Linked DNA regions of Lytechinus pictus. The protein of the gene in region 1 purifies or fractionates together with the protein of each later gene. This does not show direct contact. Links are inferred from orthologs where the notes say so. Each region holds a gene or a part of one and is shown in the gene's direction. Other genes may lie near its edges. The genes, in order: 3-ketoacyl-CoA thiolase, mitochondrial-like; 6-phosphogluconate dehydrogenase, decarboxylating-like.

What was found.
Region 2: the proteins of 3-ketoacyl-CoA thiolase, mitochondrial-like (region 1) and 6-phosphogluconate dehydrogenase, decarboxylating-like fractionate together in Homo sapiens (co-fractionation; 3 studies listed by BioGRID). This does not show direct contact. The link is inferred for Lytechinus pictus from reciprocal best matches to the Homo sapiens genes ACAA2 and PGD.

Annotation. Positions count from the first base shown.
Region 1 is NC_087250.1:5,140,862-5,153,251, forward strand, and holds the start of 3-ketoacyl-CoA thiolase, mitochondrial-like, read left to right. Parts: upstream 1-6,423; 5' UTR 6,424-6,541; coding exon 6,542-6,557; intron 6,558-12,390. UniProt on the Homo sapiens protein: In the production of energy from fats, this is one of the enzymes that catalyzes the last step of the mitochondrial beta-oxidation pathway, an aerobic process breaking down fatty acids into acetyl-CoA.
Region 2 is NC_087258.1:13,304,808-13,316,837, reverse strand, and holds the start of 6-phosphogluconate dehydrogenase, decarboxylating-like, read left to right. Parts: upstream 1-5,909; 5' UTR 5,910-6,069; coding exon 6,070-6,083; intron 6,084-12,030. UniProt on the Homo sapiens protein: Catalyzes the oxidative decarboxylation of 6-phosphogluconate to ribulose 5-phosphate and CO(2), with concomitant reduction of NADP to NADPH.

The DNA of each region.
Region 1 (12,390 bases):
CCCCCCAAAAAAATACCTTGATTAGTTTATTTTTCAGCGAAACCCTTTTTTTTTGGGGGGGGAGGGGGTCGAACGATCTTTTTCTGACAAAAATCACCATCATTTTTTTCGAGTGAAAACGTTTTTTTTTTTTTTGGGGGGGGGGCTTGTCAATTTTTTCCAGTGCCCTGCCGACCAAGCGATACAGTTGGCAAGTACAGTATCAGCAATCAATGGGCATTTCCCATCCCTTACATACAAAGTGACGTTTAACTCGAAACTCGTCGGACGTTAGAAGACAACACTGTGTCAACGTTGGAAGAGAACGCTGCCAACGTTGGAGCAACGTTGTTGCCAGATATCGTCGGAGTCGGACCAACGTTGTAAACATCGTTGGACTGACGATTCTAATTTCAAGGATGCAGCGTTGCCTGCCACACAATTGACGCAACGTTAATTGTTAAAACGAATTCACAAGGTTACGTTAGTCCAACGTTGTACGCAAGCTTTATTGTTGATTGGAATGGTACGTTGCTGGGCAGGTCACATATCAAGGTCAAATGTAGCTTGAGGTCAAATGCTAAAGTTCACCCACAAAGCTCTCTCGTGACGCAACCTTGCAACCATGACACAATATTCTACCTTGGTTGTAGAAGCACGCGTGAATGTGTTTCCGTCAAAGGTCACGTGATGAGGAAATGGATGTTACATTCAACCAGTAACGTAATAAGCCAAACATTTTGAGGGGGTCAAACATGTTGTGTGGGACAACACACGCCACAACTGGGCGTTGTGGCGTGTGCCTGTATTCCAAGCTATGTGGGGAAGTTACAAATTGATCAGAGGTTCGAGGTTCGAGCCCTGGTCACGTCTATCGGGGGAGCGTTTCATGAAAGGACTTGTCGGACGTTTTATCCGACAAGTCCCATTTTATCCGACAGTTACCATAGGAACAGTGCCTTTCAGCCAATCAACATGCATGAAAGATGTCAGATCTGACAAATGTTGATGAAACACTCCCCAGATGGTGACGTTAAAAGTCGGTCCCAGACGTAAATAATCATATCTGATTGATACACGTCTGACAAAACTCAAATACACACACACATTTTTTTAAAGTCGCAAGCGAGCGAAGTGTGTGAGCAAAAATGTTGACCTTGTTAATACAAAGAGCTAATTTCATGGTAGATTGTATCAATCTATGTCATATTTCACCCTTGTCAGTCCATAATTCATTTCTTCTTTTTCTCTTTTTTTTTGGTGGGGGACCCCCCCCCCCCCCCCCCTCCCCCCATCTATACGTTTGAGCGTTCAATGGCAGTGACACGATATATGCTCATGCTACATTTTGATCTGCGGCCTTAATATCTCAGAGGGTCGGAGTTGGTATTGTAACAGAGTTTTTGGTTCAGAATAATGTATATAGGTTATAATTCGGGTTTCTTTAGTTATGGAGGTTAGGTTACAGGGGCCGCGGAACGAACGGTTTTCAAAGTGGGCGGGGGAGGGGGGCTGACCATGCAAAAATCACAATCCTATGGTCATCTTTACGTTTTTTTTGTACACGGTTTTGGAAAAAAGTGGAGGGGGGGGGGGGGCTGAAGCCCCCCTCCCCGCTTCCGCGGCCCCTGGGTTATAAGGTGTGTTTGGCTTATAACGTGTAGACTTTCCATTGGAGTAATCATCGCCGGAGCAAATGTCGTGGAACCTCAATGGCAGGTATCAATCAAAGGATTCATCGTTGGGTGATAAAGATAACTGATAAGTTATTCATGTTCAGTGGAGCGCCGTGGCCCAGTGGATTAGTCTCCGAACTTGGAAACAGAGGGTCGTGGGTTCGAATCCCAGCCATGGCGTAGTTTCCTTCAGCAAGGAATTCATCCACAGCGTGCTGCACTCGACCCAGGTGAGGTATATGGGTACCGGCAGGAAGTTATTCCTCAAAAAGCTGTTTGCACATGAATCGGTAGCCTATATAGCATAGCCGGGGTAATAATAATAGCAGGGTACGCTGGGAGAACAGTTTTCGGAACTGAAGTGGCTACCCTGGGTAAATATACCGTTATCATTATTGTTGTTGTTATTATTATTATTGTTTCTCCAACTTATACCACAAGGCTAACACATCAACTGTTGTTGCTGTGTTACCCTTGCCGTGTTAGCCTTGTGGTATTGTTGGAAAGACATGAATAACTTATCTTTTATCTTTATCACTCAAGATGATTCCTTCGATTTGATATTTAATATAATGGGATAGCTTGACCCAGATAATTTAGGGCACTTGGTGGTCTAGTGGTTATGACGCTGATCTAGTGATCCAAAGGTCGTGCCGGGTTCGAATCCCACGTACCCGGTCTGCTTATATGATTTTTTTTTCATAGGCAAGCATCACTCAGCAGTTGTTGTGTTACCCGTGTGGTATTGTTGAAGCAACATGAATAACTTATCATTAATTTCAATGAAAATGTATTTCTATACGAGCCCGGTCCATGAACAGTGTGGCTACACAACGATCGCTCGATTTCTAATCATGTTCGCAATTAGGCGAGACACAATTATCGATTACCCTTTGATCATTATAAGGTCAAGTTCTGTTGGGCATGGGATATCAACATGATAAATGTCTCGCGTTGCCATGGTTTCATTAACTCATGTCAGACAGGAAGGGATATAGATTTAAATTGAACAAAAGTACACCAACCTCCTTAATGGGAGGCTTAATTGGGACTGGTGACGGGGGGGGGGGGTGTCCTACTGAGATGGGAAGTGGGGTGGCAGATTATTATTTCATTGTCATTTCAATAAACGTATGTGCAGATATAGGAGTAGGCAGGTATGGCCGTAGGGGTTGACTGCACACTGTCATATCAAGGAAGATGGAAAGATTGACAGATAAAAAGAAAAAAGAAAACAACGAAAGAAATTAATAAACAAAAATTACATTAAAAAACTAAACTTAAAGAAAGAAAGAAGAAAGAAAGATAGATATATGAATTAAAAAAGAAAGTAAGAAAGACGGAAAGAAAGAAAGAAAGAAAGAAAGAAAGAGAGAGAGAAAGAAAGAGAAAAAAATGCACCCCCATAAAAAAAACCCAGAAATTGAAGAAAGAGAACAAAAAAGGGGAAGAAATGAAGGAAGACATAAAAAATAAAGGCAATGTGCTTGATCATGCAACTGTTTTGCTCCTTAAAAAAAAAAAAAAAAAAAAAGTCCCGCTTGTAGGCAATGTTGACCCTGCCTCTAATTCGACCTCAACATTTCTGCCAATTTAGCCTTCGACTGATCTACACTAAACTAATCGTTCATAATTATTATGAAAATAAATGTCGATTCCACTACCCGACTTTGCAGTCAACATTTGGGGCTTATGAATGCTATAGGAAAAACGCTGTTTAAAATCATATCCAAGGCTATAATCGTAGGATTCATACACAGTAAAATCAATATCTTGTTTACTAAGCGAACCTTGCATGCCAAATTTATTGAGAGTTGTTTAAGGTTTTAAACATTTGTTTTAACTATTTAAACAACTATTTTATTTCCATATAGTTAATAGCGTATGTATAAAAATGTAAACAGCATTTATTTAAATTTGAATTTAAATTAAAAATTTTATATTTTCTTCCGGTGCAAATCTTCGGATGAATTGCTGTCCCAGTCCACCAACTTTTAACTTATTTATGAAACAAATTTCAGAGCAAATAAGTTCAGAAAGAAATAGTTTCGTTTCAGAAACCTTTTCGAACAAGCTGGCAATCTGTCACATTAACAAACATAATTAATACCAGTGTTTATTTCTTAGATATAATGTATCAGTTCTCTTATTTTTCTTGCCAAATTTGATTTGGCTGTGACAACTTGATTGTATAATAAGTCAGTTTGACTACATGTCTATGTATTATGAATTATGTATATACCATGTTTATTTACTGTTTGTCTGAAAAAATGGTAAATGTTTATATAGTGTAACTATGCTTTTTGAAAATAAAGAACCCTGTGGAAGGGAAAATAATTTAAAAAAAAAGCAAAAAAACTTTCAATTAAACAAAAGCCTCTCAGTTCTTTATTGTGATTTTAATTGCATTTTCCAAGGAATCGATGCGTCGCAGAGAGTCCGCCCCCCAGGTTTCCCCGTACTATAGGCATAAATGCAAAAACTACCTAGTATTTTGTTCAGATATTAAGTTTCATTGTAATTCAGTTCAGCTATGGTTGAATTATAGATGCTCACACGTGCATGTTTTCATCAATTTTCATTTGACGTTCGACCTATTTCTCTTGTCATTCCTTACCCGTTATGTCTTCATTCAATCAATTATTTCATCTACATCTGGGGCCCGTTTCACAAAGCCTGTTTTACTAACAACTATATGCAATAAAATGTTTAAAGCTACTGAAATCATACAGTTTGATTGGCTCAGAGCAAGCAAACTTGTTGCAGGCATTGTGTATTTGGTATTATGAAACACCATCCAGATTCTTGTAGACGGGGGAGCGGTGCCAGTATTATTATTATTATTATTATTTTTTTTTTTTTGGGGGGGGGATCTCGCGGTGGTGTCATATTCTTTTCTCAGTCATTTTAATTATAGGGGCATTTAAGCATGTTAAATAATACATTTTACAAATACCTTTTAAAATACTATTTCACAGGTTTCATACTATAATTTTATCCTTCTTCCTTTTCGGAATTAAACCCTCCCCGAAATGTTCGCGTTTTGGGGGGAGAGCTAAATGAGTGTTATTATGTCCATATTTAATACTTTTTTTGTCTCAAAAACATTAGCAAGGTGACTGTTTTTTTCAAGGTCACCAACACTGTTTTGTACACGGCAATAGCGATGATGAATAACTATGTCAAAGGTCAAATGTTAATGCAGATGAAGTATATCAACAGTGCCGGGTGAAGAGGAGACAGAATCGAAACACGGAGTAGGTGTGTGTGTGCAGTGGCGTAATGAGTAAAAAAAAATTGAGGGGGTCAGATATGGCGTATCGGGGGAAAATATAAAAAGTTGCGAGTGAGCAAAATAATGTTTCTATTTTATGGTAGATTTTGACATAATAATAGGCCTGTTCAGAAAGTAACATATTTCACGCCTTTTTTTGCTTGGGGGGAGGGGGGGGGGGGGCGCCCCAGTGTGGTTGTGTGCCGTATGTGTGTGAAAGACAGATAGAGAGGAGGGTCGGGGTGATAGAGGAGGAGGGGGGGGGGGTGACGCTAGAGCCTAAAAAGTGGGACACAGAACAGAATCAAATAAAATGCCTATAGATAAAGGAGGGGGGGGGGCAGAATATATATATAGAGAGAGAAGGGTGCGGGCGGGGGAATAGATATCTAGGAGGGATCGAGGGATTGACCTTTTGACACAATGCAAATGTTTTCCATTCTAAACGGTCCTCAATATGACCTAGAAAAAAATATTGGCGTGTGTATAAACGTATCATTTTGCCCATCTAGAATTTACAATACATTTTTGAAACCGGGAAAAACCGCATGGAGTTCGAAACGGGGGAGAAAAAAAAAAGTAACATAATTTCAATAAAGAAGGGCGTCGCTGGCCAGAGAGGGGAGGGATGGGGAGGGCTGGAGTAGAGCTATAATGATAATAATAACGGTTATTTATATGCGCTATACACAAAAAGTATCACAGCGCTTACAATTGTCGGAAGTAAAATATTAATATAAATCTGAAGTAACAAAAACAGTATAGAGTCAACGTGGAGCGTCCGGGCCCAGTGGATTAGTCTCCGGACTTTGAAACAGAGGGTCGTGTGTTCAATTCCCAGCCATGGCTTAATTTCCTTCGGCAAAAAATTGATCCACGTTGTGCAGAACTTGACCCAGGAGAGGTGAATGGGTACCCGGTAGGAAGAAATTCCTCGAATGCTCGAGCGCCTGATCAAGGTAGCCGTGCTAATTAAAGCCGGGGTAATAATAATAGCAGGGCCCGCTGGGAGAACAGTTTTCGGAACTGAAGTGGCTACCCTGGGTAAAAGTTTTCATTATTATTATAACGCTAAAGTCGCAATTCATGTACTCCTGTAAAAGTAACTGGGGCTCTTGAGGGTCTTAATTTAGTTCATAATTGGATTTTGTTGAAATAAAACTAACAAAATATACAATCGAAAGAAGTCCACATATTGAAATATGTGACCTTTTACAAATAGAATCATAACAAATACATGAAGTAAATTTAAGTGAATATTCGAATAAAACACAGATTCATATAAATGAAAAAAAAAAATGCAAATTTCTTTATTGCACATTCTGTTTGAACATGATACATGTCCTTTTTCGCAATGAAGTGAACTTCTTTGAAATGATGATGGGATCTCCACCGCCCCCCCCCCCCCCCCGACCGCGCCCGTCCCCCGCCCCGACCACGACCCCGCCCCTTTCCATTTTCTTCGATCGTGTATGTTAATTGTCAATAGATGGCGCCAAATCTTTTAAAAGCATTTTGTGACTAGAACGAATTCTACTAGGGGCCTACTAGAAAGTGGCACAGAGATTGCACTTCAAATTATTAGTCTTTTAAAGTCGTTGAAAGTCACATCATGGCCCTGACTCGAGGTAATTATATTATTAGCTTATGACATCCATATAATTAATTTCATAATTCGAATTTTAATGCAGTCTTGTCTCATTTCTTATTTTCTGCGCCCAGCTCTGTGCGGTCTCTTCCCCTGATCGCCGGCACCGCATCTTGCTTGTGAGTTTGCGGGGAAACCCTGGGTCAGTGTTTGTAGTTGTACGCACCCGGGTGATGTGCACGTTGACGCCGCGGCGCTTGCGAATTCGCGAATTGATCTGAAAATAAATTGTTAGTTTCTTGACTTAAGTCATAATGAATAAGATTGATTGCATGCTTCGGGATTGTATTATAACTGGCATAATTAATATTGTTTGGATTGTATTTGACATATTAAGTGTAGACTCCTACCTTGTTTTAGCCTAGGCTCTAATTCTAAACTGAATGAATCATTAAAATGACATTGTCATTGTGAATGTCACCTTGTCTCGACTGTGAAAATTGTGTTCTGCTTTTCAAGGAAAATTCAATATTTTAGACTAAATTTTAGTTAGAAAAAATGAATCTCATAAATTTAATACTCTAAAATTCTAAATCAACATTTTGTGTAACAACCATTTGGTCCAATCATCACTTTGTCTAGACCAGTTCATCTAACGTCCATGCGCAGTGAGTTTTTTTACTGTTGCGCCACTCACCTGTCACTGCCTGACTACAATGGTTCTAGAAATCTTTTGCAATGTTGAAAAGTGTCTTGTGGCATCTGATATTAATCCTCAGTAATTCCCTGAAATGCTGCAACGTTTGGTTAAAAGATCCAGCAAAAGACAAAGGAGTTAAGCGCAGTCAAAGTCAGACTTGCAAACTTGGTCTGTACGGTGCGAATTTAAGGACGTTCCACATGCACAGTTAAAGTGAAAACCATGTCATTTTCACCAAACTTTGCACATAGATACTTTAGAACCTTAATATTCGAAATATGCAAAAATTAACATAGGTCCATGTGCTTGATTTTTTGCTATAGAACTTCAAAGTTCACCCAAATTGATGTTCTTAAGAATTGCGCATTCAAAAGAATTTTGCATTTTTAGACCGCCCAAGATTACTACAATGAGTTTTAACCTGTATTACTCAGTCAAAATACATGAAAAAGTCATAAAATTTCGCAAGAGAGTTAATAATTGTATCGTTAGAATGGAGAATATATTTAAAGTGCTATTTGTTTGCAATTTTAAGTTTAACAGCACTGTCAGTTCTTAAAAATGGCGTAAAAGATAACAAAATCCCAATCTAAAAAATGTGAAATTTCAGTAACAAACTACAAAAGTACAATAAATGCTGCACTTTATTCAAAATCCATGTCATTTTCACCAAAATTTGTAGAGTTGTAGAGGAAGGTATACCTAAGAGGAACAAACATTAAAAAATAGGGGTTCATGTGCTTGTTTTTAAACTATCAGTACTTTTATTAGAGCAAATGTGCTTTTTAAAACACCAAAAATGCGCCGAATGCTTTGTATCTATGTGAAGAAAAAATCAAAACCACTCTACCATTTATTCAATCTCGGGGTAATATTCGTGATTCTTGGCAGCACTGCAGAGTAAAGTATTTTGAAATTGTAGAGAATCTTTTTTTGAATGGTCCATGGAATAATTCAATTTTTTAGCTTCATGAAATAACGCATCGGATCTGCAGTTAAAGTGCAGAAGATGAGAAAAATCAGCACATACCCGCAGCTAATTAATCACCTGTTCATCCATTGTGACGTCAGCGCGCAGTGTAAACTATGCGCAGATCATAATGCGCACAAACATAACTGTGGAACGTCCTTAAGCTGCCATTTTTCTCGGGCAACGATTTGAGACGCCCACACTAAGCAATCGATGTTTCCAAAACTGCCCGCTCAAGTTACCAATATTTGGTATCAAAATATAGATTATAAAAAAATGCTCACGATCATTTCATTTTGAAGGTGGGGGTGACAATTGTTATCAAAATAAGAGGGGTTGGCGACTCAACGTATATCTTAACCCACGGAGAGGTTTCAACAATGCAGCTGAGTCAATGCACTTTTGTGTACGATCGGTGCGTGTGTGTGCGCATGCGCGATATGTCTGTGTAGTAAATGTATTGGATTTTTCGAATCGGCGACTCAAAATATACCCATCATTGGGCCGTATGCATAAAGACAAGCAATTGCTTATAAGCAAATGCTTTAAGCAAAAGCAAGAGCTGGTCAAGCAAAAGGGCAAGTTCAAGCAATTGCTTAAATTCGTATGCACAAGCTTTTGCTTGTGCTGAAACCTTTTGCTTGCACTGCCTAAGCAATTGCTTATGTGTTGGACAAAGGATCGTTACGGTTGTGCGAACATCGCACAGTAGGACAACAACGCTTCGTGCCCGAACTGGCAGCAGTATTTTTTTATTACGCAAATAGGGGGAAAACAGCGCAGAGCATCAGGGGGGTTTCTGTGTAGATCGATGGACAAAAATTGCCGTAAAAAGTCTAAAATAACAGGAAATTGATTAGATATGAAATCACAACATAACCTCTGGAATATGGAGCTTGAAACGGTATGAAAATTTAATCCTTAAACGAGAATGCCCTGAGTAAGCAAGAGCTGAAGCTGGTCCGGAGGTGCTTGAAAAAACGCAAGCAATTGCTTATCAAGACAAGTAAATTGCTTGTTTGGTAAGCATTTGCTTACGAGTAGTGAGCAATTGTTTGTGCTTGTAAGTAAAAGCTTTTGCTTATAAGCAATTGCTTGTTTGTGTGCATACCGATTCAAGCAAAAGGCTAGCACAAGCAATTGCTTGTTTTTATGCATACGGCCCATTGTGTCGCCGTTCCGGAAGTGTGTAATTCATGATGTTCTTACTAAAAACTGTAGCAATTTCAGGAGAAAAGTTTATCATATATTTCAAAGGATTTGTGGATACTTTCATCTCATACAAAGATTTGGGTAAGAATTTTTTTTTTTGGTTGCAAAATTGAAGGTTGAAGACTGCCGATGGCGACTCACTGCGCATGGACGTTATGCCTAGGCTATGGCCATCTCGTCTCACAATCAGTTGGTCTAATATATTTTTTTTCATTCATTTTTCCCAATTTACACTTAGTCTAATTAGACCAAATGGTATGGACTTTTTTATGGCTATTGGCAAATTGGACCAACTGGTTATTAGACTAAATGTTGAGTGGATGAAACGGCAATTAGACCCCCCCCCCCAAAAAAAAAAATAGTTAGAATCATAGCTGGAGCAAACCCAAGATCTAAAGTTAGCACATTATACTCTGAGCTTAAACTGCTTATTTTAGAAGAAATTACAACCTACCAGCAATTTTTTTTTGTTTATCAGTGTATCAATCGGCTTATGCCTGTTAATTTTTCTCAGTTGTTTGATACAAATCAGAATTTATATAAATACAATACATGCTCCTCTTCATTAATTCATTTGCCAAGACACAGGACCTGTTCTTATCAACATAATATTTGTTTTATAGGTCAAAAAAGTTGAACAATTTACCTACAGACATCAGACATGCACCAACTTATATAACTTTAAGAAAAAACTTAAGAAAAAACTTACGTCCGGTCCCTAAATTTTGTGATTTGCTTTATAGATTTAGTTGTGGGATGATTGGTTGATGATTTTTTTTCTGTTTCAAATGACATACTAGTATTTTATATAAAGTTGCCCTGTCCCCCCCCCCCCATTTTCCCTACATTGTTTTGTATTGTACTCTGTTTCATAAGTTTATTTCATGTACTATGTATTCATTGTTTATGTCACAGTGCACCATAGAGATGTATACTAACTACGCTAGAGTGCGGAGTCGCCATAGGCGCGCGTACTTAACGTCTGTGATTGTGTGGAGCGTGGCGGCCATTGCTCGATAGGTATAGATTCGCAAAAGTACCCGGATGTACCCATAGCTCGTGCGTTGTAACGCTGTGAAAAGGGGTGCCGTCTCCGGCCTTTATCTTGAAGAAAAGAACACAACCTCATAAAAATCGAAAATATGAATGACAAATTGCATCTCAATACACTATTAGAGTGATTACATGGGGATTATGCTATTAATTTGGCATTTTAAAAACCTGATTTCTCGGGATGAAATTCTAAATAATTTGCATTTACCTGTCCGTTTATAGGCCTGTAATAGATAACAATGTTGATATACTATCATATAAACAATCATATAAAAATAAAAACATACAGCGGACATTAATAGAAAGATTGACAATTAATTCAAAAGACTGCAGTGAATTAGCCCTTCTCTGGATTTCCCTACCTTTAACTGCATCGTCCTCCTTCCATCCTTCCCACATTTACGTCCTTTGATTCTATGTTTATGTTGGATATAATTTTGTAATTTCTATATAGGCCTACATGATATGTAACTTGCTTTAATTTGTATGAAATATAGGCCTATCATTTTTATACATTAAGTTGTACAATTAATTCTGTATAAGTTAGTGTTTTGATCTACATGCGCTATTAAAGGGCATCTCATTATTGTTCTTGGTGAGCCTCCCGTTACACCATCAATGTTGAAATTTGTGTTATTTGGTGAACGTGCTGATTTTGTTCTTATAGGAACATAATAAATTCCCCAAAATCTGCAGGCCTATATGGCCCGAAAATAAAATATTGATTTAAAATGTCGAGAATATAGCCTAATTTGTTCAAACTTTTAAAAAATGACAGTTTTAATTCCCTTCACTTTAAGTTAGATTTTTTTAATTCGCTTTTTAGGGGCCGTGTGTGCAATTAAAATAACAAACACACCTAAGCAAATTCGCTTTAACATACTGATCAAAATAAAATACAGGGGGCGCGACCGGACCCCTCCCTGAAATGAAAATGAACATTACACATAATAAATGATTGTGATTTTATGCACCCCATCGCTTTCAAAATCATTCCGCGACGCCGTAACATAATAAAATAATTTTGTTCATCCATGGAAATCTTATTTAAAAAAAAACGATCGAATACTCAAACTCAGGTCCATAGGCCAGCAAATGACATTAAAGGAAGAAAACTAGAAAATCAAATTCAGTTATACTTTTAAAATGAAAAACAAAACTGGATATTCAAAACGCGTGTTTATCTGTTTATATGTTAGGCCGGTGCCAGTGCTTACAAATATTTGCCATAAAGTTCATTTATTCAAGCGACACAGACACAGTTAATTAACACAATTTCAAGGCAGGTATCAAATTTGAGATTAAATTAGGATTTTTAATATCTTATTCCAAGTATTGTCACTTTTGCAATATTATTGTTTCATAATTATGTTTGGTTTTAGTACTCACAATTTTGCAACCGTTTTCATAATTATGATAAGTTTGCATTGATGTCTTTCATGATATTAGTTTTATACACTCTTGCAGTAGTAATAATATTCTTTATAGTATAATACAAATTATATATCATAATCCCGCCCCTTTTCTTCTCTCCTTCTCCCCCTTCTTCCTCTCCTTATTATTCTATCCTTGATTTGTTCACATGATATTGGTCCAATCATTATAGGATCAGAAACAACGGCGATAAACAAAATATTTCAGCCAGTTTGCCGATCAGCATATTTTCAGCCGGGGAGAATCAAGTCTATACTTTCCAGAAAATCAAAGTGAAATTGTTTTGCGCATTGTGATTTGTTTACTCTCCGAAGTTTTAAAATGTTTGCAAGGCAATAACACTGTACATAAACATCCAACCCCCCATTAGGCCTCCTGTACATTGCAAAATTGTACGACTGCATGCGCGCATTTGATATGCAAATTTTGCTGTCAACAAACTTTTCTATACATTGATCGCAAGTAAGAAAGTATACTTTTATATACATATTTATAAATATGATG
Region 2 (12,030 bases), on another chromosome or scaffold:
TCGGTATTATACATAGAACTTCGTCCCAGATACAACATAAGCCTATTTTTGTAATCATAATGTATAATATTTTGATGTTTTCTTTTAGTCTGACAAACAGATTATATAAATCGCTGTATGGTTTCTCTCGTCCTTAGTAAATGTTAATGCTCCCTCAGGTGTGTGATACTTCTCTGTCTACATATTGATCCGTTCAATTTAGCTCATTTCACGGAATCGTTGATCCATCGCTTTATTCAGCTAAACCGGGGGATCTGCTGTAAAATGGAATCTTTGAAACCAGTCAGCAGGTATGAATAGGGGAAAAAAGACAAAGAAAGAAACTAATGAAGGTTTGAGAAAAATTGAATGACTAATATGAACATTATGACCATTTAAAGGGATGCTCCGGGATAAAGATAATTATATCTCAATAAATAGAGTAAAATTCACACAGCCAAATGCTGAAAATTTGATCAAAATCGGATAACAAATAGCAAAGTTATTGAATTTTAAAGACTTGCATTATTCTGGTGAAACAGTTCTAGGCATGCCTTCATGAATATTCATGAATGTGTTAATGATATCATATCCCCACTTGTTCTTTGTATGGAATTAGGTTCATTCAAATTTGTTCTACCAAGAATTAAAACAATTGAACTGACAACTGATTAAGTGAATTAGTTATTTCTTGCTGCAAATTATTTCATCATAATGGAGACACATCATCATTTACACATTGATGAAAAATGATTTCATGTAATAATATAAGAAAAAGGAAAGTGGGGATATGCATATTTATTCAGATTTTTACTTTTTATCAAGGCTATCCATAAATCAAGTGCACTTTTAACGGGAGGACTTGTAATGAGGTTTCACAGAATATCATGGACAATGTTGGTACTAACAAAATGAATGCAAATTGGAGGATCTCCATAGTATTAGTTATTTCAATACTCAAATGCTCATAACTTTCTTATTGTTCGTTCATTTATTTTGTATTCTCACACTTCTAGTGATTTTATTCTTTGGGTGGGTTTTTTGTTGTTGTTCGTTTTCACATAAGCTAACATTTTCAAAAAATTTCATTTTCTTCAAATGACCAAAGGATGAAAACTTTGTATTAATGTAATTAGTGAACACTTTTTGTACTAAAATTGAGCTTTCTTTTAAGGACAGGTCCACCCCCAACAAAAAAGTTGATTGGAATAAACGGAAAATCTAACACTAAAAATTTCATCAAAGTCGGATGTAAAATAAGAAAGTTATGACATTTTAAAGTTTCGCTAAATTCACAAAACAGTTATATGCACATCCTGGTCGGTATGCAAATGAGGAGACTGATGACGTCATCCACTCACTATTTCTTTTATTATATGAAATATCATGATTTTCTCCTCATTGTCAAGTAAATAAACGATTAATTCCTTCCTGAACATGTGGAATTAGCATTGTTTAATACTATATGGTTCAGTCAAGTTGGCCCTTATTGTCAAAACTGTAAAAAATGAAATATTGTATAATTCAAACTATAAAAAACAAAAGAAATAGTGAGTGACGGACATCATCGACTGTCTCATTTGCATGTCACTGAGTTGTGCATATCACTGGGTTTTTTTTGTGTGAAAAATAATGGAAACTGTAAAATGTCATTACTTTATTATTTTACATTTTGTTGAAATTCTCAGCGTTATACTAGTTTGATTATTCAAATCAACATTTTCTGGGTTGGACATGACCTTTAAGCGAGATAGAGAGGGGGGTGGAGAGAGAGAGAAGGGTTCATATTTGAATTTCTCAATATGAATAAAGTTATTGTCCAATTTCATTCTCTGTATTATTGATGGTTATCTCAACAATTTTTAATTACTTATTTACGACACACAGTCAATGAGAGACTTCAAAGTAATGGTCAGTTCACTCCCCCCCCCCCCCGAAAAAAAAATGGTGCAAAGTTTCACCTTCTAATTGTAGTTGGGCATTCATCACTCCAAACAGGAACAAAGCGGTACGTTTACCTTTTTCATGTATGGGGGAATGGGTTGATTTAGAACAATGCCAATTCGTCCAATTGCCAACTCGTCTAAATTTTGGTCTACCATCAGTTCGTCCAATATCCACATGGTCTAATTGCCATTTCATCCACTCACCATTTCGTCATAATAACCAGTTGGTCCAATAGCAATTTAGTTGATATACCATTTGGTCTAATTAGACTAAGTGTTAATTGGTCAAAAGGAATGAGAACAAAACGAACATTAGACCAACTGGTTATGAGACGAAGTGGTCATAGACGAACTAGTGATTAGACGAAATGATGGTTGGACCAGATGGTTATTGGACCAACTAGTTGCTAGACGAAATGTTGATGGACAGAATGGCATACGAATAAATGAAGGTATAGACCATGTGGTGAGTGGACGAGCTGGCAGTGGACGAAATGGACGAGTACTGCCATTATCTGTCGTCTTCATCCAGAATTCCAGCTTTCCGAAATCTCGTCAACGTTCTTGTTCTCATTCTTATCTGTCTCCACCACATACCTGTCGGACTAATATGTTTCAGTGATCAATTTGTTACATAATTCATGGGTAATTGAACATAACGCACCAATTGAAATATTTTTCCCCCGTTGGTCGAAATGTAGAAAATTACAAACACACTCACCACAAGCTTAAAGAGGCATGATATTAATAGTGTTATTGTATAAAGTTTCTCTTTATGAAAGTATATACACATGCGTTCGTTCTCAAATGGCACCAGTCCTGCATGTTGTTTGTATTCATTGCGCTCGGGGAGTTGCGCTTGGGGGCAAAACAATTCTCATTTCACCATGCAATCATTTATTTCTTTCTTTTTAATTGTAAAATATATATGATATTATCTAGAAGGAAATAACAGATATACAAATACCAATACAATTCATTCTATCAGTAACAGGATAATTGACGTCAACAGAAGTTGTGTTCAATATGGATCACAGATACAGACAAAACAAAATATTTCAAAGTTTCCTGACTATCCTTGGTCTGTATAACTGCACATTATAAGTAGAGAGAACAAGGGCGGTCGGAAAATATTTGGAAAAAGATAACTAAATATTCATGATTTCTTTTCTCAAAAGGACGTCTTCCAAGAAGTTCAGGTGAATAAACCAAACCGAAGAAACTTGTTTGATGCTTCATAATCCGTATACTGAACATGAAAGGACATACGAAGATTTCCCTTGTGTCTCCTTGGGTTTCGTTGCCATGGAGCACATGATCTGATGATGAATATTTTCTCATGGCTCAATCCTTTTTTATCCTCCTAAATAATCATTCAGTATCCAAAATGAAAGAGAACACCCAGATATTCAGCCTGAATTTCATGTTGTTTTCAAAACAAAACAAAAATATTCGATATCGACGCGTTTGGCTGAACTGCTCGCGTCGCATAATATTTTGATCCAGAGTAAAATTTCAAATACCTGGGGATTTTTCTCAATTATCTTTTTTCTTTAAATCATTGATACTGTGAGTTTCCCTAAAGCTATTGTAGTATAATTAACCAACTTGTATTTTGGATTGTTTTGTAGATCATCTTATTGCCTGTCTCATTTCTCCTTTTTTCAACCTTTTTCTTTTAAGATTTTTTATCTTGCTTCCTTTTGTTATCTAATTGGCTTTCGAATTTTCTTCGTCTTTTTTTCCGCCTTCTTCATTCTATCTCTTATATTATACTCTTCTTTATACTTTTTTAATTTATTTTTCTCGTTTTCTTCTTATTTTGTCTTCCTCTTTTCTGAATAATTCTTTTTTCTCTCCCATTATTTCTTTTTTTTTTGGTTTTCGTCTTCAGTTTCCATCTTCTTCACCATTTAACGACTATTTTTTTCTCTTTTTGTCCCTTTTTCTTTCTCTTGATATTTCTTGTAAAAAACTCCCTCTTTTTTTAATAAGATGACAAAGAGCACTTCATAAAAAAATGCAAAGGTTTATAACTGAATATCACTTTACATGTTCCTCTCATGCTCGTTTGAAGAAATTAAAAGCAATGATAATGGTCTACATGTTTGTTTAAAATTGTTACTTATTATTTGCCCCTAAGTACATTAAGGGCCTTCAAAGTTTTAACAATAACCTTGTTAATCATTATGATGGCGCTCTTCTCAATTCACAGTAGAAGCAAGATCAAACTATACTAGGTTTACACAGTAAAAAAAAATTATACAACGCTGTTTACTATATGAACCTTACAGTAATTGTTTAAACAGTTTAAACAAGTGTTTAAATCTTAAGCAACAAAGTTTAATTTTCAATATCTAATGTTCAATAAATTAAACATGACTGTTTAAACTGTTAAACAAATACTAGGTTGATATATTATACAGCGTTGTATAAAATCTTACTAAACAGCGTTTTTACTGTGTAGCTTATGAGCATACACTCCATGCAGGTTAGCCCCATTTTATTGACTGAAATATATAATGTATTTTGATAACCAAATTGACACATGAAATCACATCTGTGATTCCAGTATTATCAGTAAAAAGTATTATAAACAATGAGAAATGAATGAAATTTGATGATCAATATAGGGCTGACACAAACTTTAACATGATCAAGTTAGTGTTCGTCACTCAAAAAATATTAACAAGTTTTTGCACCGCAACTCAGAACGAATAATTCAAGAACACATGAAGTTAAAGCATTGAAAATGTCCGTCAAATGACAATGAACAGCTGGGAGGTCTTTGTCGGAAATTGAGAAACCGGAACAGCAGATCGTCTTAAGTTTTTGAGCTAACGAACAGTTTAAACTACTAGTATGTCGTAATTGTCCATAGTCCAGGACGAAATTGCTGGTTTGATTCACCAATTTTCGAGATAATGAGAAACTTCTTGGATGTTCTTTGTCATGAAGGGCACTTAATTTTGGTGGTGGTGGTGTGGTTCAGTGCAGGGGCGACGGAACCAGACGGGCCTTTTTCAAAATGGAAAATGCCCTTTTTTTTAATGAAATGAAATGTACCCCTGTTCAAAATGAAATACCTTTTTTAAAGGAAAACAATACATTTTAGATTACAAAATCACAAAATGTTTGGCTCGTGCAGTTCTGCATTCACATCAATTATTGTTTAGTAAGGTATTCTTCCTATTCATGGTTTTAAAAAAAAAATAGAATGTCCAGTTTTCAGGTTGTAATATCACTGGGAATATCACACACCTTTGACTCATGTTTCGCTCTCGCATCATTTATTGTTTATTAAGGTACTCATTCTGTTCCTATAGTTACAAAAAATGCTTAGCATGTCCAGTTTTCAGGTTAGAATAATAATCACAAATTTCAGCTCACGCTTTGCGCTGGCGTTAATTATATATATAGACACATCTTTTTTCATGATTTACAAAATTGCTCGCCTTAACTTTTCATGTCTTAAATGAAATGTCAAAAAGTTTGAGCTCGTGATTCGCAACATCTCGCAAGGATGCCCTTTAACAGTACAGTGTAATTAGCGCCATAATTGACCAAAAAGCGAGTTGTACAGCTTCGATCAGATTTGATTTTTTTTTTCGAACCGCTCGATCGCTCGCGGAAAATACCTAAATATCAATCAGAAATCTTTGCTAATCTTTATTACTACAAAATACACGTTAACTTCTTCACACATAATATAATCTCATGGTGAAAATGCCCATTTTGACATAAATCTAAATGCCCTTTCTTGGCTTTGCCACCCCCCCCCCCCCAACGAAATACGTTCCGCCGCCCCTGGTTCAAGTGATAGTGATGATGATCGAAGGTGATCGAATCAAGGTTTTCTGTTTTAACCCGAGAAAATTGAGGTAAAAATGGAAATGCCAAGGAAATCTCCCCCCCCCCCCCACCTTCCCCGCCTAGCTCCTTCAAAGTCTTGGGGGGAAATCCCGTGAAGCACACATGTGCATCACACACCCACTCATACTTTATATTGCATGCACTGCACACGTTGCACCGGCACCAGTCACGACGTCCGTTGCTCTAGCTCTCGAGATCTCCGCATTTCATTTGCTTCCGGTATCTCGTCTGACTTCGGCTGTACCACGGCAAAATCTCTCCAAAATCAACCATGGCTGAACCAGTGTAAGTGCTATTTTATCAATTTCAAGAAAATAGATATATAGGGGGAGGGTAATATGATTCAATCAACTCGAAGCATTTATAATTTCAATTTTAATAGTAAAATAAAACGGATGATTGGGGGTGTGGAACTTTGGCGAGGATTGCTCGCTGGCCTTCCATCCTGTGAATTTCCCAGGGTCAGCGCCAGGCCATTGGATTCGGCGCGGCGATGACCAGCATGCTGCAAATTTATTCTTGTAAAATGTAGGAATGTTTTATGACATGCTATTCTCCCGTTCATCCATGTTTGACCTTGGCTTAGGATCCTTGAGGAGGGGTTTGAAGAGTAAGAATAAGATCAAAGCACATTAATGTCTAGAGACTAGACCAAAAGCTTCAGTCTCTGTAATCTGTATTTTGGTTGTTCCGCTGAACTGCGTTGGCTCACTCACTAGTAAAGTGTCAGAAATTGTTGAATTAATCCCCAGAAACGACGGTTATTCCTGTCTAATTAGTGTCGACAATAATGACGTTGCTCTCCTACTCGCGCTCGTCACAAGTTAGATATCTACCGTAATGTCACTTGCACGTACATGTAGGCCTATATTTAAGTTGTTTCATTTGCACACCCCCCCCCCCAAAAAAAAAAAAATTGAAATTGAAAAATAACTGCATGTAATTACAACTTAGAAGGTTTTGAAAAACCATTTCATGCCAGCAGATGGTAAAAATCAAGTTTTAAAATAAATCCATATACTGATAAAAGTGATAAATCTTATTTTTCTTCTCGAAATGCTGGACCCCATGCTAGACAAAAAGTTTTTGAGGAAACGTGAGAATAAGTCCAATGTTTTTATAATCTTTGCATGCTTTTGTCATAAAAAACAGACTTAAGCTTTGCGCTATGAATGCACTACAAAGAAAAAGGATTCAGGGATGCTTTTGTACATGCAGTGTCTACATCACTTTAAAATAAAAAATAAAGAATGAACTACAAGTATTAAAAAGTTTGAAATTGAAAATAAAGCTATCCTATAATGAGTTTTGTATAGTTTGAAAGAGAAAAGTATGTGTAAAGCCTTTGTATCCAGCTACATGTACATGAAAATTAATATGAATGTCAGACTTTTCTTGGACTGGTCATTGAAGGGTATTTTCCAATGCCTCAGTGATCATGGCTGATTTTTTCAGAGTTTGGAGGATTTTTTATGTTCATTTGATATTATAACTTATAAGATTCTGAGATTTTTAGTTGGCTTTGCTCATTTTGACCAGAAATTATTAGATTTGATTCTACCTTCAATGAGGCAACATAAGAATTTATTTCATCCAAAAATATTTGTAATATGAATACCAATTTTCAAATTAATTAAATGTGAGAGCCATCAGGAAAATTACAAGCTATGAAAAGTATGATCATCAGCACTTTAATTATCACAGACAGGTCTGAAAATATGCATCATCCCATTATAATTATTCATGCATGACTGATCACATTTTGCAACTTGTTGTATTAAACATGTAACATTTACAATCTAGCAAAATAGGATTTTGTTTTATTTCTAGCAAAGTAGTGCATACATGTTTATCTTCTCCTTTTTAAGTATTTCCTTTGGACATATTTCAAAACTTTAGATTGTGCAACAAGGTGCTCAAATACAGTTGAAATTAGAATCACTGCTGAGGTGTAAAACAAATCGTAGGCTGATTCCAGAATTTGTTAAATTTGCTGGATATAAGTTTAATATTTTAGAACATTATTGGGCATTTGACTTGCTGGCTTTCTGTTGTGCTTTACATGTATGTGTTTTTAGGAAGGGGCTTGAGAATTTGTTTTCAAATTTTGGTGAATCTTTCGTATCGGTACCTGAAAGTTACAAGCTACATGTACATGTATATGAATGTAGGAAAACTAGATACATACATGTACATGTATGGTTTCCATACAAAGTATTCAGGCAACTATTTAAAGAGGACTCTGTTTGAAGCCCCACATTACTGCTTTGAAAAAGCATTTGTCAGATCTACATGTACTGTACATTTACATGCTAAGCTGCATTAAATGCAAATGAGTTGAAAAGAAATTCCTATCATAGACCCAAACTATAGATTCCTTCACTTCCTCATTTTTTGTTCAGCAACTGTTTACGAGGAGGGGACAAATTCTGCTTTCATTTCAATTGTTGATAACAACACCATGGCCGCGATAATTACTGACCCATGACTCTAGTCTAAATGTCTTTTTATGCTCAAGCAGGAAACAGTGATATCCATTGATTGCAATACATGTACAATGTAGGATGAATTCAGACTGGTTTACTAAAAACTATTCAATCTGAATGTTGTGTCCTTAAGCACTTGAGCATTCAGAGTGATGAATATTAGTTGAAAAAAAATATTGTCTGGTTGTTGGAATGGAAAATATGCACTGAGTGTGTCTAATAAGGAGACCATTGACTAGAACAGCCAATTTTGCTTTTAAAAACAAACTTTAATTAGCATTTTTGGTCACAAGAGTAAAGCTATCAGTCCTACATGTATGTAAAAATCTGTCACACAAAATTTGGGATGTGATACTTTATTCCCCGCAGAACCACACGTATAGGCTTTAATAGAACTTTACTACTGATGTACTTCTAATCTTCTACTCGGGTTTACCTGCCACATCAACCATTTCATATCATTATTAAAAGTACTATAGACATACATGTACATGTGACTGATCCTGGTGGGTGTTTCATAAAGCTGTTCGTAAAGTTACGCACAACTTTCCGCATGACTGGAACATGTTCTTAGGTCCTAAATCAATTACATAGGGATGTCACACAGCTCAAGAAAGGATCACTAGTCGCGCGTAAAGTCATTCATATCTTACAAACAGCTTTATGAAATACCTACCAGTACAGTGAAACCTGTCTATTTAGACCATACATGGGAGAGGAGAAATCAAATGTGATCTTTATCAAGTGGTCTTTTTGGACTGGTTTTTGTAATACAATGGGAAATTTATACTGTTCAAGGGAAACCAAACTTCTGATGTGGTCACGAAAGCAGGTTGGTCTGTTTTATGTACAGAACATGAAGAAGTGCGTCTTAGCTCTGGATATGGACAAACTTGTAGATAGTCCCAAATTTCACTCCAAATTATTTGAGTCTTCATCCATGTTCTACAAAAAGTAATTTGTATGCCGTTGTACATTCAGTGCATGCAACCAGGAAGTCATTTACACCCTTTTCTTTGCAATTCTTGTTTGCATCCTGTTTTCATGAATCCCCCAAATTTTAGCTACTACTGTTTGGTTGTGGTTTCCTTTATGAGAGTCATGTCCGCAAGAAAATTTTTGAAGAAATTGATTTTTAAAGGAAATCAAACCCTGGGAAAATCAGTTTTGGTTTTATAATTAAAAAGATGATAGAAAAAAAGCAATTGAAACAAATTCTATCAAAGTTGGTTAAAAAGTGAAAGAGAAAGTGATGATTATGTTTTGAAAGTCTTTTTTTCATATACTGTGTATGTGTGATCAGTTGAAATAACAGTCTTCAAAATCTAAATATTGCCCTTTATTTTCAAAAGGTTTTATTGACAACTCCAGTTTCCATTTCAAAGTACTGTATGCACCTTAGGCAATCTGCCAAGTACCACTATCGCTTGTAAATTAAGCGATAATATTGCCAATAATAAGGCATGCAAGACACAATTTTCAAACATGGGGATTACTATTTTGCCACATGTGGTAGCATAAAATTATGACAGAAAGTATGTAAATCAGGGAAAATCCTGTAAAATGAATTAGGCTAAGGGGTGTTGCAAGAAAATTTTTGCAATTAATCCCAAATATTCTGTTGCAATTTTACAATTGATTGATCACCTTTAACTATGGCGAATCAGATTACACTCCTTGTTTCATGAAGCAGATTTAATAGCATAATCAATCGCAAATTTGCAATTAATTGCATGGCATATGCTTGATATTGGGAACGAAAATAGACTTGCAATTGATCGCAAGTTTCTTGCATTGCCCCATTAGAGACTATAGATACCAGTGTTCATGAGACTTTGAAAGTTGGCTTGTGCATTTGTCTTGGAGTGATGAGGACTGGGCAACATTTGTAATGTATTGGGTCATGTGTTGTCATGGTAACAACATATAAAATTGTACTGTCATTACAGTACATGTATGTTTCTCACATCACTTGTTTTGTGTTTTCTTAAGTGCTTCTCTCTCCATCCCCTATCGATTAATGTTTCCCAAATATTATTTTGCCTGCATACACTGCAGTACAAACAAAAGTATTGAATATGACACAATGAAGTATTTCACTTCATGTACAGTTAAGTTAATCTGATGAATTTTTAATTTTAATAAACAGTGAAATGAAAAGTTTTGAAATGTTATTGTGCGCAGGGAAACCTTGAATAAATAACCTTGAAATACACTGTACATATATGCTGTACTGTAGCTACTGTCTTAAACATTTGTTTTTGTTTGTTTGTTTGTTTGTTTTGTGTTTGTCTTTAACTGTCTCAAATGTTGGAGGATGGTTCTGCCAAATGTTACTTACAAGTCCTCTCATGCATCAATTTGTGCATGCATCCGCTGTTAGAGTGAGTGAGGTGTTTGGCTGTTCAGAATGTTAATGGAGACTTTAATCTAATTTATGAAGGGCATTCTTGCAATTTTAAAGTCACCAGGAATTTATGCACGTCTAAAGTACCTACAATACAGGTACATGTACATGTACGTAACTGTAAATACTACATGTGTACCATGAATACAAGTGGCTGCTGTCTGCCACTGGCTTTCCGAGACAAAATTATAATACTAGTACTTGGTACAGTGTCTAGAAGGAGAGAGGAAGGTGGAGCTAGCACTACTCCTGGCTGTACATCATGAAGTTTGTCATCTCCACTATGTAGCAAAAAATGAGTTATAAAAAAAAGAAATTGGCCCAAAACCAACAAATTACTGTACAGATTTAAAATGAAATGCAAAAAATATCTTTTTCAAAAACTCTATACAGTAAAAATTTGTGAAAACAAGGGTTATCAATAATGGTTGATTGTTTTATGGAATGCATTATTGCAAGTTGTTATAGCAACACCACCCACCATCATGAAAATGAATTCCTCTCCAAACACGCTGTCCAGTCAAATGTTTGTACATTCAATTACCGTACAGCAATGCACAATCTTCTCACACTACCCCTGTGGCAAATTTAGATATTGCAGCTGAAATTGAAAGCGGTAGTGATTTATCTGCAATGGATCCTTTCTGATTAAAGATTGCGCCTAGATATCTGAAGCCTCATTCATTAGCATGCACGCTGCACCTTGCACTGTGACTGTGCTTTAGCAAACAGTCCAAACAGGTACACTGCATGCACCTGTGAAAATGGACCATTTCCTGGTTCCTTTCAATGCTGAAAGGGAGACATCCATTAAAAAAAATCCTTTTAAATTGATTTATCTAATGACGAGTTTGAATAATGCTTTAAAAATGCAGACTTTGGTCTTGCAGCATCATATGTTTATGCCCTGCTCCAGAAATTAATTGAGCATTTTGTTGGAGGTGCAGTGCATATCAACTGATTTAATGATTCAGAAAAAAAAGACGCTTTCATGAAGTTTAATACTGTGTTTTTCTGGTATGAAGTGTGAAAGTGTCATTATGTGTTGTTGTGAGAAATCAATCTTTAAAAGCTTGAAATACCAGTCCATATCAAGAATATCACTACATTACTCATAGAAATTAAACACATTTTGTTTTTTAGTTGAAATCCAGCACTCAAAGATTTGTGAAACATTTGTTTATGATTTTGTACAAATTTAGTACTTAATTTTTCCAAATGCCAGCTAGTTCTTAAACCCTGAAATTCTCCCACAGTCATGACATTTGTACTATCCTTTGATGAAAAAAAAGGTTCCAGTGTAAATGGATAGATTGAAAAGCAAGTCCTGTAATTAAAA